Linked DNA regions of Drosophila melanogaster. The protein of the gene in region 1 interacts with the protein of each later gene in a pairwise test. Each region holds a gene or a part of one and is shown on either strand. Other genes may lie near its edges.

Region 1 (8,968 bases):
CTCTCTCAGGTAATTGAAGTTCTCGCCCCGCTGATCGAAAAGCAATCGAAAGCCATTGCGCCCAAGTGAGAGTAGCGTCATCAAGACATCTAGTGACTGGGAACCACTAGCTCTCCCAGCATAAGTACTGGCCACATCGTGGAGCACACTCTCATTGAAGCTGGCCACAATGGCACTACCCACTGGCACCAGCAAATTCTTGTCGCTGCTCTGAACGAAGTAATCAATGCGTCCGACTCGATTGGCGCACTCCAACTGATTAACGATTTCCTTTGCCTGCAATCCATAGGCATTATTGACCAGATGGGGAATCTGCCATTGTTTGGACAACTTGGATACTTCGGCAATGTCATCGCTGTTTCGTGGAGCAAAACAACTGGTGGTAGTGTACAGGCAGAGGATGCTATCCACTCCCAATGACTTTATCTTTTCTCGGAATAAATCTACGTTCGTGTTCAGGGACTCTCCTTTAATAAGGCAGGGGATGACTACCGGCACCAAGCCCGTTGCTGTGATGGCCTTGAAGCAGGACTTCTGATCGATGCGGGACCAGAGCACATACCGCGCCCCGGGTCGCCGCTTGCGAAGACTCTGCAGGCACAAAGTCAATGTCATGCCTGTACACATTGGCACCAAAAAGCAGCCAGCACAGCTGGGCAGTCCGATTCCCCGAATAAGGTCCAGAATCAGGGCGTTTGTGAGACGAGCGAGCAGCGTAGAGCCAGCTGCCTTGGGTTGTGCCTCTAGTAAGTCTCCAGATCTGCCGATACCATGACCGAAGTTGTAGTGACGGCGAGCCACGAGTTCTGAATGACAAATTCATTACGGGGGATATCGCCTCCTGATCCCTTACTTACTGCAGGCTATACGCGCCTCCCGCTCTCCTAAACCGACCTTATGTGGATAGTTATTGCTGTCCAAGGAAGCCAGCATGTGCACCAGCTCCTCGATACGTTCATCGGACCAACCATTTTTCGGAAGCTTTCGCTTGAAAAGAAGAATTATCCATGGAGTTATCAATTAATTTGGGTTTAATTTCGGTTTGATTACCTTTTCGAGCAGCTCCTTAAAACTGCGCTGCTTACTGCGTTGCGCAGCCAGTCCCAGTTGCAAATAGTTGTCCGGCACTAGTTTCTCTGGTATATTGACCTGCTCAAAGTTCATTTGGCTTTTGGATAATGTAAATATAAACTAAAAGTAAACAATGTCTATCGCCGCTTTCAGGTGCGCAAAAAAAAAACAGTTAAATTTTCTTACTGAGCAAGTAAGGCGGCGATGCCATATTGTTTAAATAGCTGACAAATGGACACCTTTCGATTTTGTTTAAAGTGGAGGAAAAATATATAATATATACAAAGGCGTATTTTCGAAAATAAACTCCTCGCAACGCTACTAAAATGGACTTAACTTAATTTGTTGAATTTGTTAAGGTTAAATATGAATTTTGTTAATGCAAACATGACTTTTGTGGAATCTTTGATTCCGTTAAATGTCCGGCAGCGCTGCACCATTTTCAGGTCCGGTTAGTGGGGCCAGCCAACAGCTTCACCAAAATGTTGCCACCTTTTGGACACCTTAGTGAGCTCTGTACCATTGCGTACGAAGCAGGCCACGGTCATACCGCAAGTCATCCAGAAGAAGCAGCCCAACAGCTACGCAAAAAGTTACTTTTATTCGCAGCAAAACAGATTTTTTTGTTTTAATCGTAAGTATAGGAGTGAAAAATAGCGCTAGAGTAGACCTAAGTACACAGAAAGACAAATAGGGCGAGTAAAATCGCGGTCCTGGTCATTTCTCTGGCCTTGACCAATCCTTTGTCTGCGCTTTCGTTGGAAAAGGGGTTATGTACGAACTGCGTGCGTACCTAAGGCCAGATTAGTCATCGGGCAGTCATATATTCATGCAAAAAATCATTTGGTGGCCGTCGGCCTTTGTTCGACTGTACCTTGCTCATTATTTAATAAGCGCGACAGCAATATACACACTTTGAACCCCCATCCCACATTTTTTCTCACCGTTTCCCCCTAATTTTCGTTTTCCCTGTGCCCATCATTCCGCTTTCGCCATGTCAGTGTATCGCTTCAAAATGGCGCCGAACCACATGTCTTCGTTCTCGGCTCGTCCGCTTCGTTCGTGCGCTCGTGTGTCGTCTCATTCGCTCTCCGAATTTCGTTTAACAAAGTGGTGCGAGCAGAGGGGCGCTGGATTCGAGGCAAACAACACATATACCTAGTAACCGATTGTGATAGCTGTTAAAAATAGAATTCCGGACGTAGTCTGAGCAAAATTGTTAACGTTTATTTTGAAGGCATAAAAGTAAATTCCGTTACAAAAAATTATATTTTCTATTTGCTCTCCCCTTTTCTTTGTTGTTGTGTGTGTGCGTGCGTGTCAATTTTACCGTGCAAAAGCTCGCTCATAAGAAAAGAGAGGTAAGAAAAGAAGGGATCTGCCATCTGTCTCTTTGTTTTTCGTCGACTCGAGTGAGAAGCATTAACCAGCCAGCGCTTCGTGAGGTTAAATTAAATTACATATTCTCGCACGTTCGTTAGTTGTGAAAAAGCAACAGGCACACACACACACACATACACACTACACTCGCACACGACTGATTTCAATTGATTGCAAGGACACGCGGAAGCGGCAAACACAGGGCCAGACTTAATATCCTTGGGTGAAAGCGTAAGTTGCCGTTCCTTATATGTACCAATGTGTACTTGATAGCCTAGATAATTTAATTTTTGCGTTTTCGCTGCTATGACAATTTTCCCGGCCAACTAGCACACAGTCATCGGCGCGTTTTTATGTGCACTACATGCACAATGACCTCATTTCCCCAGCGCGCTACCTAACACAAGTAACCACGTCAAAATTTCACTTTATTCTGCGTTTCTATGTCGATTTCTTGGTCGCCTCACCTCTCAATTCTTTTTATTTCTTTTGTCGACATTATCAAACTGTAAAATGCACAGTGGGTATGTGTGTGTGAAAAAGAGAGATAATTAAAAAGAGATGTGAAGTGTGCCCGTTCTCCGCTCTTGAATGTGTGTGTTTAAAGCACATGTACGCTGGCATTTTTAGGTTAAGGCTTTCTTAGGCTCAGTTTTCACTAGAGTTTCCACTTAAACGCCGGTCATAGGTGAAAATGTTGTAGTTTGATTATGAGCGCAACGAGAATACATATACAGGGAACGGTTTTCCACCGCTTGGAGACCACCTTAGTCATCTTACACTAAAATTAAGATAAATCTAAAAATGAATCTAGTGGCCATGATAATTTAGTCTGGTCAGAAATAAAAACTTACAGGGGCAAACCAAAACCGCTTCCATCTCTGATCCACATTTACCTTTGCAGCAATTTATTGTATGAGTCAAAAAACTGAAAGACCAGTGCTATCGGGTCAACGCATCAAGACCAGAAAAAGAGATGAAAGAGAAAAATATGACCCAACGGGATTCCGTGATGCGGTCATTGCTGGTCTCGAAAAAACTGAAGGCGACCTGGAACAAATCTCTAAATATCTAGACAGCGCGGGCAACAAGCTCGACTATCGTCGCTACGGTGAAGTTCTCTTTGACATATTGATTGCAGGAGGTCTACTAGGTAAGTTTTCCGCTGCAAGTAATGTGTTTAGTCTCTTCACTGACCCTTTTCCATCCTCGTTTCAATTGCAGTGCCTGGTGGTTCTATATCTCAGGATGGCGAAAAGCCGCGCACAAGCTACTGCATCTTCGATGCGCCCGAGAGCATGGAGAGCATGCGCAACCATGAGCAGGTTTGTAATCTTTTAGCAGGTCATACTTAAATTATGATTATGAGTAAACGAAAATTGGTTTGATTGCAACACAAGTTGAGCTCTTGTTGTTTTCCAAGCTAAAACGTTTATTTACTACTAAATGATTTTCTTCGGATCCACTTAAAAGTATGAAATTCGTGAAGTGGCTGCATATCATTAGAGCTGACTATAAAGTTTCAAAAATGTAATCGGTGTCAAGAATATGCAATAACAATCAACACATTTACTTGTCTTTGGTTTGTCCTAAACACTAACGTTCTGAAGATTTCTTATGTGTCAACAACTACTCTTTATTCAACACTATATATATATACTATATGCATGCAACCACTGCGAAGGTCACGCTATTGAATCAAAGTGCATATTATTAGAACCGGTTATGCATCTCAACAACTCAATCGGTGTCAAAATATGCAAAATAAAAAGCCACATTTTACTTGTCTTTATTTTGTAAAATTACTACCGCCAGCAATCTAAAGATTTCTAATGTTGCAACAACAAATACAAAAGCCTCCTGCGTGAGAACACAGTAAAATTTCACCATCCGCTAACAGGGGCAATCACACTTTACCTTTTCCAGGTATTTGTCAAGCTCATCAGACGGTACAAGTACCTTGAGAAAATGTTCGAAGAGGAGATGGGAAAGGTTCTATTATTCGTAAAGGGCTTTACTCCTAGTGAACGCATCAAGCTTGCGCGTATGACAGCGCTCTGGTTAGGTAAGTCTTAACATTTATGTTCCTGTTCCTCCTGTGCATTGCTTGCGTCTGCCCATTCGGTCTTTCAATTAGTTGTTTCGATAAACACTTGTTCAACTTGCAGCTGAGGGGCTAAAGTAATCCTTCACTTGGTATACTGACTCTTGGATGAACTAACCACATCTAAGGGCCACGAGCCCAAGGACAGGATTGCTAGCCGGCCGTCTAAACTTGTTTTGCGAAAACATTTGACTAACCCTATATTTAACCCTATTTTTGATCAACAGTCAACGGTTCTGTACCGCCAAATGTTTTACTGGTACTAAACAACGAGCACCTAATCAAGGATGGCATTGCATTGGAGTTTCTACTAGAGCTGTTCCAGACGTTCAAGCAAGAGAAGGGCATTGCATATCTGATTCAGGCGCTTAAGAAGGGTGGACTGGAAAGCAAGTAAGTTTTTAGTTGTGATTTGTTTTTAGCCCCGGAATGTTCTCAGGAAGATGACTCAATGATCCAGTTGTGCATCTTTAATTGATATTCCTAGAGTAAGAAAGTTCGACGGAGTTTTACCCAATTCGCAAATGACCTTTCGCTTCATTTGGGTGCTGATTTAATTTCGTACACCTCAATACGTCATTTAAGGTTGATTATTGAATGCGTTAACTTAAATTATTAATAATGGTTCCACTTTTTCACGTTTTTCCAGACTTATGGACTTTTTCCCACCGAACAAACGTACTGAGGAATATTTTAAACAAGTTTTTCTTGACAAAGAACTTAACGAGATCGTCAAGCTACATAAGGCTCAGGCTAGCCAGGAGGCGAAGCGTGAGTTGCAGCAGGCGCTCATCGATGATATCAACGATGAGAAGCCATATAATGAGATAACCTCAGACATTAAGGACTTCTCGCAGCGCACCAACATTCCCGATCATGAAATAATTGTTATTGTAAGTCGATGCGTAAATAATCCAACTGGATGATTTCCTTACTAAATCTCATGTATGATCTTTACCAGATTTGGTCCACCATCATGTCATTGGGCGAATGGAACAAGAAGGAGGAGCTGGTTACCGATCAGGCTGTTCGTCATCTGAAGAACTACTGCCCACTGTTGCAGGCTTTCGCCTCGACCGACCGTTCGGAATTGGCCCTAATCTTGAAGGTGCAGGAATTCTGCTACGAGAACATGAACTTCATGAAGGCCTTCCAGAAAATCATTTTGTTGTTCTACAAGACCGAGGTCCTGTCCGAGGAGATCATCTTGCGCTGGTACAAGGAGGGCCACTCAAACAAGGGCAAAATGCATTTCCTTGAACAAATGCGAAAGTTTGTCGAATGGCTTCAGTCAGCCGAAGAAGGTTAGTATGTTTTGATAAATGTTATCAGCGTGCAATTTTTGAGAATGGTCTTGTCTTAAATAGCTTGATTCTGGTACGTAATTGCAAGAGAAATTTGGGTTTTTTGCTTGCCTCGTTGATTTCCATTCACTGAACAACGTAGGCCAATGAAAACCTGGACAATATAAATATTCAAATTTTGCTTCCTTCGAAACTTTACACAGTGCACTTTTTGAGAATGGTCTTGTCCTGGATGACATTTTCATTGTACAAAATTGCAAGAGCATTTGAGTTTTTGCTTGCCTTGTTGCCTCACAAAATCCGAGCATCAAAGGCCAATGAAAACTTGGACACAAATAGCTGACTTCACCGAGCATGCTTCTTACCAAGCTTTTAAAGTGTTCCCATTATTAGGAACCAGTTTTAAAGGGTTCATGTACAGTATGCAAAAGCGAAAGAATGATTGGGTGCCCATATAACCCAATGCCGTGGTTAATTTGGCCAATAATCGTTTGGACAGCTGCATTTGTCCTAGTCCGCATGCACAATCCCCTCATAAAAGCTCCGAATGGTTGCTTCATTCGATTGAGCCAAGCGGGGAGTTGTGCCAAAGCATTTGAATGGTTGGGTGTCCAGATAACTTTCCATAGTTAAATTTGGCCAATAATCATTTGGACAGCATAACCGGAGCTGCACATCTTTTCAGTTTGTACCAATTGAAGCCCCCATACTAACATTTTGTATTCTATTCTCTTTCAGAATCCGAATCTGAGGACGAACAAAAGAATGGCGAGTAAGAACTTGGTTGATGGCTAAATGAGGATGAACACAAACGGAGCCGCCCTTTAGCATCCCCATCCAAAAATTCGAAACCAGCACCTGCAACAGCCAGTCGAACTATATATAAAACTCACCCCTATGAATTAATGTCATTTTGAAAACTCCACCTATATAAAACTCAAAAATTCCAACAAATAAAGGAGAGAGTAAAAAAAACATGCTAGAAACTAAACGTTTGCAGTCCAGTCTGATATCATTCACGAATCTACACTTAGTTCCCGTTTGCAATATACCGGCAAACCCATACTATATATGTTAATAAAAGTTTGAAGTGGAAACAGCAGCACGCTCCAAATTAATAGAGAACATCTGACCGCCAATAACGTCGACTACTACGACCTGCAGTGAGGTAGCTGGAGTTCCGCGGAGTTGATGCAACAAATAAAAAACCAAAAGAGATACCACAGAGATGCTTTGTGTGAATTCGGGGATGTGTTCCGTTTGCATGTTCGCATTATTCATCAATAAATTTTCCTCATATATGCGTTTAACAAGTAGTACTCACTCTCGAAGGATTTGCCACGGCGATGAAAGGAAATTAACAAGTTATATTTGAAAGATCAATATCATTTAGCAAAGTTTCGTCGAACAAAATCTATGGATTTACGAAATATAAGATACATGGACTTAGCACATGTATACGTATAAAACCATTAAACAACCCAAAGTATTTAACTGAAACGCTGAGAAAGCATTGTATTTAAATTTGATTGGCATATAGGGGCATATTTTTGTTTAACAAATTTAGTTGGCATTATGAGGGGTCTAACTTCAAATCAGTTTTTTAAGGTCTTAAAAAGATGTGGTCCGATTCTATATTTAAAAGTTTGACAAAAAACCAAATCCGAATGCTGGATCCCCATTTCTGCAACTTCGAATATTTTGTACGTTTATTGTTACAGACATGGCCAAATCTAGTCGTCATTCATTTGTGACAAATATTACAAGTTTTAAGAAGTTACCTTTTTTCTTTTTGTATTACTTACATTGAATAAGACATATCCCGAAAAGTATGCAGCACTATTTTGGTTCGGAAGATACAATGTTTGAGATACGCTTTACTCGTCTAGTTTTAGTTCAACGGAAAGGCATCTTCTAAAGCAAACTCGTGGTGCTTCCAAGTTACAGGAATCTGCGAGTTTAGTCCAGACCTTCTGGCTTTTTTATGTTCTAGGTTTTCATACAAACATGAGCAAGTTGACTCTGCTGATCAAGAATATGGGTGTACTTAATTAAGACTTATTTGAAGTCCTAGATTGAATTTCTTAAAATAGTTTACCCCATGTCTTGTTTTTAGGATCATTAGAACATTGCAAAAGGAAGTTGTTATACAGTTAAGTTTAGTTTTTGGAAATACTGTTTTTTATTCAACATAAATTTTGTTTAAAAGTAATTTTTCTTGCATTTTGTATTTCATGTAATGTATATAGTACTCGATGTTATATAATAACGCATATGCTACTTGTATTTGTTTGCTAATCTTGTAGTTATTCATCATATTGAACTTGGTAACTTGGTTAGAAAATGAGCTTGAAGAATACACTATGAACATTGGCGAACATGCGAATACAAGGTTCAAATTTACTGTAGCTCCTGCTCCTGTATGCTAGTCGTGTGTTTGAACATGGTGTGTTGATTTTTAGAGCCTGATATGATGGCGCAGCGTCAGGTGGAAACGGTGGCAGTTCGGCAGTCCCCTAAATTGCAAAACTAATTTCCATTTTTCTATATTTTCTTTAAGTAGTTATATGAGGGTGTGAAAGCTGCACTTGATGGTCAGGTCAACAAACTTAGCTACTTGGCAAAACTTCATCGTCGTTGGTGCATGTGTAATGAATGGGTATTAAGTGTCGCGTGCTAAGCAGTGTGTATTCTCTACTCTCGGTATCTCAACAACAACAGACATTGATGATTTTCGGGGCTTTCGTTGAGCCAGTGGCAGTTGCACAAGCGTCCGTTGCCCTCGAAGAAGCGAAATCGGGGGTTTAGGTCCATTTCGGTGCTTCGCTGAGCAACAATGCTGTGTGGTCGCATGCGCAACCTGCCAGCGGCTCTGTAAAAGGGGCGATCCACTGCCGTTGTTCCTCCTGAACGCTGCACTTGATAATTACGAACATAAACGACATAGACATATAAAAAGTTAACAAAGACTACAGAAAATAATGTACAATAAACGAGGGGAAAACTGAAATAAAAATTCTTGGACAGGAATGTATGCAAAATTTTAAAGTGTATGTATACAATATAAGCACATATCTAGACCTACTGCTCAGAAATATGTGCATATGTA
Region 2 (7,374 bases), on another chromosome or scaffold:
GCCGTGTCATCTGCATAGGTGGCTGCTGTGAGGTAACGGGAGGGTATGATAGGGAGGTCTGCTGTAAACAGGGTGTAGAGGATGGGACCAAGGACGCTGCCTTGAGGTACTCCGGCTCGTATAGGCCTTGTCGTGCTTGTTGAGGAACCGCATCGCACTTGGAACTCTCTTCCTTCAGTATACGATTTGAGTAGGGCATAGTGGGAACTGGGAAGGTGGGACTTGAGTTTGTAGAGGAGTCCAGGATGCCACACTCTGTCGAACGCCTGCTTGACATCCAGGAATACGGCCGAACAGTATCGTTTATTCTCGAATGCATCTAGGATGCGTGCTACGAGCCGGTGACATTGCTCTGGTGTTCCGTGGGATCGCCTGAAGCCAAACTGGTGATCAGGGATCAGTCCAGCCTCGTCCAGTACTGGCATGACTCTGCGCAGAAATACTCTTTCGAGTATTTTGGAGAGGATTGTCAGCAGACTAATCGGTCTATATGAGGCAAGATTGGCTTCAGGTTTTCCAGGTTTGAGGGTGAGAATGACTTCTGCACGTTTCCATGATCTCGGGAAGTACCCTAGTGAGAAGCATCTGTTGTATATGTTGGCCAACAACTGGGAACAGGGCGGTGGCAGCATTTTAAGGGATGTGGCGTCGATGCGATCCAGTCCTGGGGATTTGCTAGCCTTTAGGGAGGCGATCTCTTGCGCAACCTCTTCTGGGGTGACGGGCTCTATGGGCAGGCTAGGAGGACATGGACTCTCTAGGAACCTGGTGGTTGCAGCACGCTCTTCGCCAGTGCATCTGTCAAATGGTGTGAATGCATTCTGGAGGTGATCTGCAAACGCTTCAGCTCTTTCGGCTTCAGAGCGGCACCAAGAGCCGTCCGCTTTTCGCACCGGCGACGCCTTCTTTGCAGGCCTCCTGATATGACGCGTGACTTGCCACAGATTATGTTGCGGGTCACCAGGTTCCAGCTCCTCAAGGAATCTGTCGAAGGAGTCTTGCCGTAGGGTACACAGCTTGTCCTTGAGTTCCTTGATGGCTCTGTTGAGTGCTGCCTTGTCCCTTGGGTTGCGCGAGAAAAACCAGATTCTCCTGAGGCGCCTTTTTTCCCTCGCTGCTGGTGCGAATCACATTGGGCGCTAGTTCGGTGAGACCAAGACGCATATGGCCCGACCAGCCGCGCTCTATCTTTTCGATCTCCACCAAGAAGATGTCCCCAGGGGCCAGCGGACGCTCCGAGAATGTCAGGGCGTCGGCAAAACTAGCTCTCCGGTAGGCCACTGTGGCGTCGTCGCCCAACTGGATATTGGACCCGTGGTATGGATGAAAGCGACTCAGCTGCCGCTTGCGACTGCTCAGGGTGGGGGCGCACTCCAACGAACCAATGGGCGATTCCCGGCCTCGGTCCTGCTCCTGGTCTGGGTCTGGATCTTCCTGCTCGGCGGCCGCGTAGGCTGCACGCGAAGGCGCGCAAAGGGCGGCTGGTGCTGCCGCCTCGTCGAGCTGCTCGGCGGCTTCCATGTGCGCGTGGTCTTCGGTGATCCTTGAAGAATCTCCTGGCGTGCCCGCAGGTTGATTATTTACCTTTTGTTCCACGGAGACTCTAAGTGTGACCGTATGCTTATGTTAAACGAAATACCAGGGCTGCAGACGTACTGGCAATCACCACCAAAAGCAGGAACCAGTTCGTGACGTAATCTGAAGCAGCTGTTCAGTTGTCCAGGAGTCGGTGGAAATTACGAGGTGGGTAAAATCGTATTTTTTGACTGAAATGACCGGACTCACAGAGCCAAGGGGTTTCAGATGCGCGTACCCGGAGCCCTGTTTGCCGCGCGCGGCCGAGCGCCTCAAAGCGAGAAGGACGTGCCCTTCCAGGAGATTCTGCCTCTGCGGCTGAAGAACACCGTGAGCGGGAAGGCGGACTCCGGATCCGATGTGGCCTGTCTCCAGGAGATGGGCGTGCTGTTCGCCTGCTTGAAAGACAACGAATTCGTGGAGAAGTACTGCCACAAGGAGATCAGCCAGTTCCAGAACTGCTACAAGTGCTACATGGACCGTAAGTTTGAGGCGAAGAAGACCGTGAACCAGGGAATCGTCCAACCGGGCAGCAACCTGAACTACAAGCAACTTAACAAGTACATGCGCCGCTACCCCAATCCCGTATAGCTTTACATAGTTCAAGTTGTTTAATAATACACTATTTACAATGTACGCAGCAGCATTGATTCGTCAGTAGACCACGTCGGCGTCTCCCAGCCCGGCCGAGGATTGGCTGACCGGCGAGGGCTGGCTGAGCACGAAGTTGGGCATGGCACGCAGGAACTGCGGATGGGAATGAGAGTGCTGCGCCTCGTACAAGTCTGACAGAAGCGGCGGCTTCTCGCGAACCCGACTGAGCAGATCGGACATCTGCCTCGGTTTTGGGACGGTGGGTGTCGGCACAGCCAAATTAATGTGCAGTGGGTAGCCGCCGTGCTCCCAGGTGTCGGCCAGAATCTGGAGGCTGCGATTGGCCTCAAAAACGCGGGCGCGTTGAAAGTTTAGCCTTTCTTGCTGCAGTTCAGACCACTGATCCTGTGCGAAAATCAGGAAAGGGGTAACTATTAATTACAAGCTAGAGGACTACTTACAAATCGGGTTCCTAAACGGCCGAAATACTTTATCTGCTCCTGTACATTGAGCACCTGCATCATATACCAATCGCGTGCCTTCTCCACGCCATCGAGTCCGAAAAGAAGCAGTTCCCGCTGCTCCTCCAATTGCTTCAGTCTTTTTAGCATGTTGTAATCGATGCCGTGTTGCAGAGTGTGCCTCCGCGACTCTCTGCGCTTGCTGCTGGTCTTCTTGGGCACAGCCGGAAGGGCCAGGCTCCAGTCGGTGGCCGAAGCAGAGGTGGAGGAAGAGCCACCGTCAGCCGATCCACGGTGTTCGAATTGTTCCCGCGACTGCGTCGTTTTTGACTTTCCTGCGTCCGCCATCAGGTTCAGTTGCCAGTTTTGGAGGGCATGGCGAATGTCGTCTTTACCCAGAGCAGGGGACTTGGGTACCTGTCGTGGAGGTTTTGGCGGCGGAGCAGGAGAATGGAACTCCATCTCCGGAGCAAGAGTTCCGTGGGAACGAGGCCGCAACTTCAGGTCTTCCACAGCGTTTTGCTGATTGCGGAGCAGGCACAGCTTGAGGCCGGCGCAGAACCGCTCGAAGGAGAGAAGTCCGCTACTGGGAGTGACCCGACGGAGTGAGTCCACAACTCCGCGTGGCAGTCCCTTGGAGCCATCATCCTGCCAGCCCTTCTCGATGTCCGTGAAGCGCACGTATCCGGTCTGCTTGTCATCTAAGATGTCGAAGAGCTTTTTCATGGACAGGACGAACTGCTTAGGCAGCGTATCCAGTTCCCAAAATTGCGACTGCCCCTGTGGATGGCTGCCTCCCACATCGCCTATGCTTAGGTTCAGCAGACTGGTACTGGTATTCTTGTTCTGGCGGAGCATCTTCGTCTGCGGATGGCGCAAAATGGAAAGTGGGATGAGATTATGAATCGTATAGTCCCACGCTTGGCACCAATGCATAACTTATATTAATAGGAGCTCATTTGCATGGGTAACTCCAAATGGAATGTGTGTGAATCTGGCACGCTGCCTTAGGACTGAATCTCTGAGCTAAGATATTTCCCACTTATTTACAAGCAGTTTTAACAAATTTATTTTTATAAAATCGTCTAGTCGCCACACAAAATTACTTGATTTCAAACTCTACAATTTTATTTAAATGGGCTCAACTGAGACGTGCAAATGAATGATTTTGTTAGTTTCTTGCCTTCAAGTACCAAGTTTACTCAATGTTATTATCGCAGCTGCATCTGTACCTTAGTCCACTTTGGTTGCTTATTTTGTTTATAAACAAAGAGACGGCCCTCCATTTGGCTGACTTACCCAAGCTATGCGGAAAATTGGCTCCTGAAATCCGAGTCCGCGGCTCGTCTGGCAGCCTTTTGAGGCCGTTCGTCAAGGCTTCTGCGCAAACTCTGCAACTATTCTGTGTATGTAATGCAGCTCGGTCGCTTGGATCCCCGGCCAAAACACCCAAAGCCAACCAACTGGTTATATTGACTGCACACTAGATCAGCGGCCGAGGTTTTGGGCCCGAGTCTCGCACGCATGCGCAACTTGCGCGACTGGTTTCTGTGGGTTTTCGGTGGATCTTCCAACACAAGCGCAGCTGAGAGAGTTCCAGGAGGCTAACACACACAGGCTAGGCCAATACCACATCGCAGTCTCAGCAAAGTGCCGAATAGAGAGGCTCTCTTATGATTAGGTAGAAACGTATTTATTAGTAGAAATGCACTGCTCTTGGCTTAATCAGTCGAAAGAGGGAGCTAACCGCCTAGGTTAAGATTGTATCTGGTAGATGCACGAACTGCAAACTCTGCGTGATCCGTATAGGGCTGTGGGGCACCCGGGTGGATTACTAGAATGAGCCTTTCACCTCAAAGTTGTGTTCCTCTAAAGGCTAGAACTTAGTCTTATTCTAAGGATTTCCTTCGAAAATCCTGTCCAGGAAGTGTTCACAACTCGGCCACCGACTTCCGGCGCACGTACTTGGCGAAGTAGTCCGGGCGCCAGCACTTGCAAGAGCCGGGGATGAGGAACCAGTCGTAGTAGAGACGCACCTGGAAGCAGCCCAGTTCATCGTGTCCATCGCAGTGGGCGTCCACCTGCGCCGCGGGGCCGGCTGCTCCAGACGAGGTTCCGTCGGAGGCGGTAGCCACGCCTGCCCTCTTCTGCAGGTACTGCTGGTAGGCCTGGAAATCCTGCACAGAAGGGGCCTGAGTGGTGGTCGAGCTGGTGGGCACTGTGTCCTCCGCATTGGGGTAGAAGATCTCCGCCACCAACAGGCTTACCCAGCGTGGTGACGACAAGCAACCGCCGTCCAGGTAGTGACAGCGTGCCTGAATGCAACGCGTCACCTCCACCGTCTGGGTGAAGTAGCCCTCATAGGGAATCTGGACCACATAACGCCAGGCGCCTTGGTAGTTCTTAGCGAAGACGGGAGTAGCGTACTCTACCTTGGCGGGACAGGGAGTGGGAGGACCCTCGTACCGGATGGGACCCACCTCCTCGCGCCTTTCCGCAGTGGGCGTGGCAGGGGCTGCTCCTCCGGTGTCTCCCTGAATTGCCCTGTATAAGGTGCAAAATCTGTGGGTGGAGTTAAAAGTTTAAAAATCTTTTATTAATTGACCTGCACGCAGTTGTGTCGTCAAAATGCTAAGCAGTTGAATACCCCATGATGTACTCCTCTCTTAACCTATTCTACAATATCTATGGATGTCGATTAAAGTGTTGAGCTTCTTTAGTTGTATGGCTTTACATTATGATGTGGAAAGTGAAATGACAAGCTCATTTGGGTTCTTTGCCTTGATAATTCTTCGAATCTATAATTTTATAAAGATGACTCATAATTTTTAAGTGGTGACCTCTTTAGCTTTATATGCGCGCCTTTCCCGTGCTTTAAGAAATACGATATATTTATCTTTCATTTATGTAGCAGTTAAGATTGGAATAACTCTACTCCCCCGTTTCCATGCTAAAAACTTACACTCCACCGCCATCGCAGAATTTCCTTGGCTTCCTCTCCTCGGCGGCCCTTCTCTGCTGGTTATTCCGATCCCTTTGCTTGTGTTGCTCCTCCTCGTCCAGGGCGGGATCGAAGTAGCTGTACTCGTTGGACTCCACGCCCTCCGGCAGGCTGCGGCGGACGCGAGTGGAACCTCCTGCGGGATAGGGCCTGTCGATGTTGTTGCTGTCCAGCTGTTCCACGGGTTCATCTCGAATGATCTGGGTGACCTTGGGTAGGGTATCGTCGGCCTTTAGAACGGGCAAAGTTTTCGAAAGGAACTTCAGCGTTTGGTTGCGAATAAGTTCGCTGTGGAGGAGGTGTACATTAGAGATGTCTGAAATTTGTTACGCAAATATTTTCACCTACAAGGGATAGGGCTCCCCGAGTACATTTTGTCCCAGCGGATTCTTGGGTATCTGACCCTTGTTTAGATCTCCGCAAATGTTGTGAACGGACACGGCAGACTTCTTGCCGGCGGCCACGTCCTTGCACTCCGCATTTACAAAGGTGTAAGGTGGCGGCCTGACCTTGGGAGGCACCGCATTCGGGGACTCGACGAAGGCGTAATAACCCTCCGGAGGCTGCTCCTCACCGTAGTCAGATGGCGACTGCTGCTGCGGCTGGGAGAAACCCAATTGGGCCAGCAGCAGAAAGCTGAGAATTTTCTACAAAACAAAAGATAGTCACAGTGGAGGTACAATCAGTGGCCGTAGCCGTCTGGAGTCGAGTTAATTGCCCAGAAGAGTCGGTGAATGGCCCAATATTGTCCGGAAAAAGAATCGAGATCTTTTACCCGGCCATACATACACTTTTCGATGTTTTGTTGTTTGGCGAAAGCGCGAAAGTTTCTGTTTCTGTTTTTGTGAAGATAAACAAACCGAGGCAGCAACTGCGATCGAGACGCCACTTCAGCATCTCTCCGCTGTGCTCACTTGACCATTAATTGTTCGAGGGAACTTTCCCTGAAGTTCTGGGCAGTGGCATCTCAATGAAACCAAAAGTTCCACGGACAGACCCGAGTAATCCAGGTCAAGTGGTACAGATCGGTGGGCGGCTGCAGTGCCAAGAAGCTGTGGAATTTCTCTCTTTGTGACACGGTTCACAGCGTAATTTGAATGCGGCGTCGGGGAATCCAAAATCGGGTCAGCCGCTAAGCTCGTTCTTTTGTTTTTTCCCTTCTAATGAGGCAGAAACTTGTTTGCCCTGCGAGAGAGCTCCCAAATGGAAAGAGCACAATTTGCATAGGTAAATATTGGTAGCTCAATTGCAGAATGAAGACCTAACCGCCTTTCGGGGCCAAGACAGGCTGATTTGATCTGGTCAGGAAAGAACTTGTTGGCGCTCTGTTCCCAATATGCGTGCCACACGCCTAACGGGAAAGTTGCTCGGCACCCGGCCAAAAGCCAGTAGTTAGAAGACCGAACTAGAAGAAGGGGCAGAACGGATCGGAACGTACGCTGCTCTTTGGTTAGCTTAATTCATTAGCATGCTCCAGAATCGGGCGGTTCCCAGGGACTGAGTAACAGTAAACGTAAGCGGTTAGCTCGCCAATGTTAACGCATTGCAAAACAAAAGACTTGGGCAACGAACTTGACCAGCGAGCCATAGAAAAAGTGTGCAGTTAGCACACCCGTAATGATGACATACCAGCACTAGACGATAATCCATCTCCGCTCGTTTGCTTCTTGTAGAAGGTTCTTGGACTTGGCCTTCGTCAGGCTTGGCTTAATCCGCAGTGGTGGGAAGCAGAACCAGACGCGT

Evidence for each region.
Region 2: the proteins of kra (region 1) and CG3880 interact in a two-hybrid assay, tested with the Drosophila melanogaster proteins (one large-scale study listed by BioGRID).

What each region holds. Positions count from the first base shown.
Region 1 is NT_033777.3:5,593,752-5,602,719, reverse strand, and holds kra (krasavietz), read left to right. Parts: upstream 1-1,583; 5' UTR 1,584-1,705; intron 1,706-2,148; exon of another isoform or gene 2,149-2,682; intron 2,683-3,146; exon of another isoform or gene 3,147-3,355; 5' UTR 3,356-3,366; coding exon 3,367-3,604; intron 3,605-3,675; coding exon 3,676-3,776; intron 3,777-3,942; exon of another isoform or gene 3,943-4,082; intron 4,083-4,153; exon of another isoform or gene 4,154-4,297; intron 4,298-4,377; coding exon 4,378-4,516; intron 4,517-4,562; exon of another isoform or gene 4,563-4,705; intron 4,706-4,782; coding exon 4,783-4,948; intron 4,949-4,980; exon of another isoform or gene 4,981-5,124; intron 5,125-5,204; coding exon 5,205-5,448; intron 5,449-5,516; coding exon 5,517-5,859; intron 5,860-5,888; exon of another isoform or gene 5,889-6,023; intron 6,024-6,061; exon of another isoform or gene 6,062-6,194; intron 6,195-6,210; exon of another isoform or gene 6,211-6,360; intron 6,361-6,379; exon of another isoform or gene 6,380-6,519; intron 6,520-6,597; coding exon 6,598-6,635; 3' UTR 6,636-7,356; downstream 7,357-8,968. Other genes in the region: SecS (Sec synthetase), read right to left, coding at 1-806, 858-987, 1,051-1,164. UniProt on the Drosophila melanogaster protein: May be involved in memory formation.
Region 2 is NT_033778.4:24,757,402-24,764,775, reverse strand, and holds CG3880 (uncharacterized protein), read right to left. Parts: upstream 4,113-7,374; 5' UTR 3,930-4,112; intron 3,495-3,929; 5' UTR 3,489-3,494; coding exon 2,631-3,488; intron 2,575-2,630; coding exon 2,230-2,574; 3' UTR 2,171-2,229; downstream 1-2,170. Other genes in the region: CG3894 (uncharacterized protein), read right to left, coding at 1,111-1,521; CG12848 (uncharacterized protein), read left to right, coding at 1,804-2,166; spz6 (spatzle 6), read right to left, coding at 4,562-5,192, 5,593-5,919, 5,980-6,278, 7,261-7,281.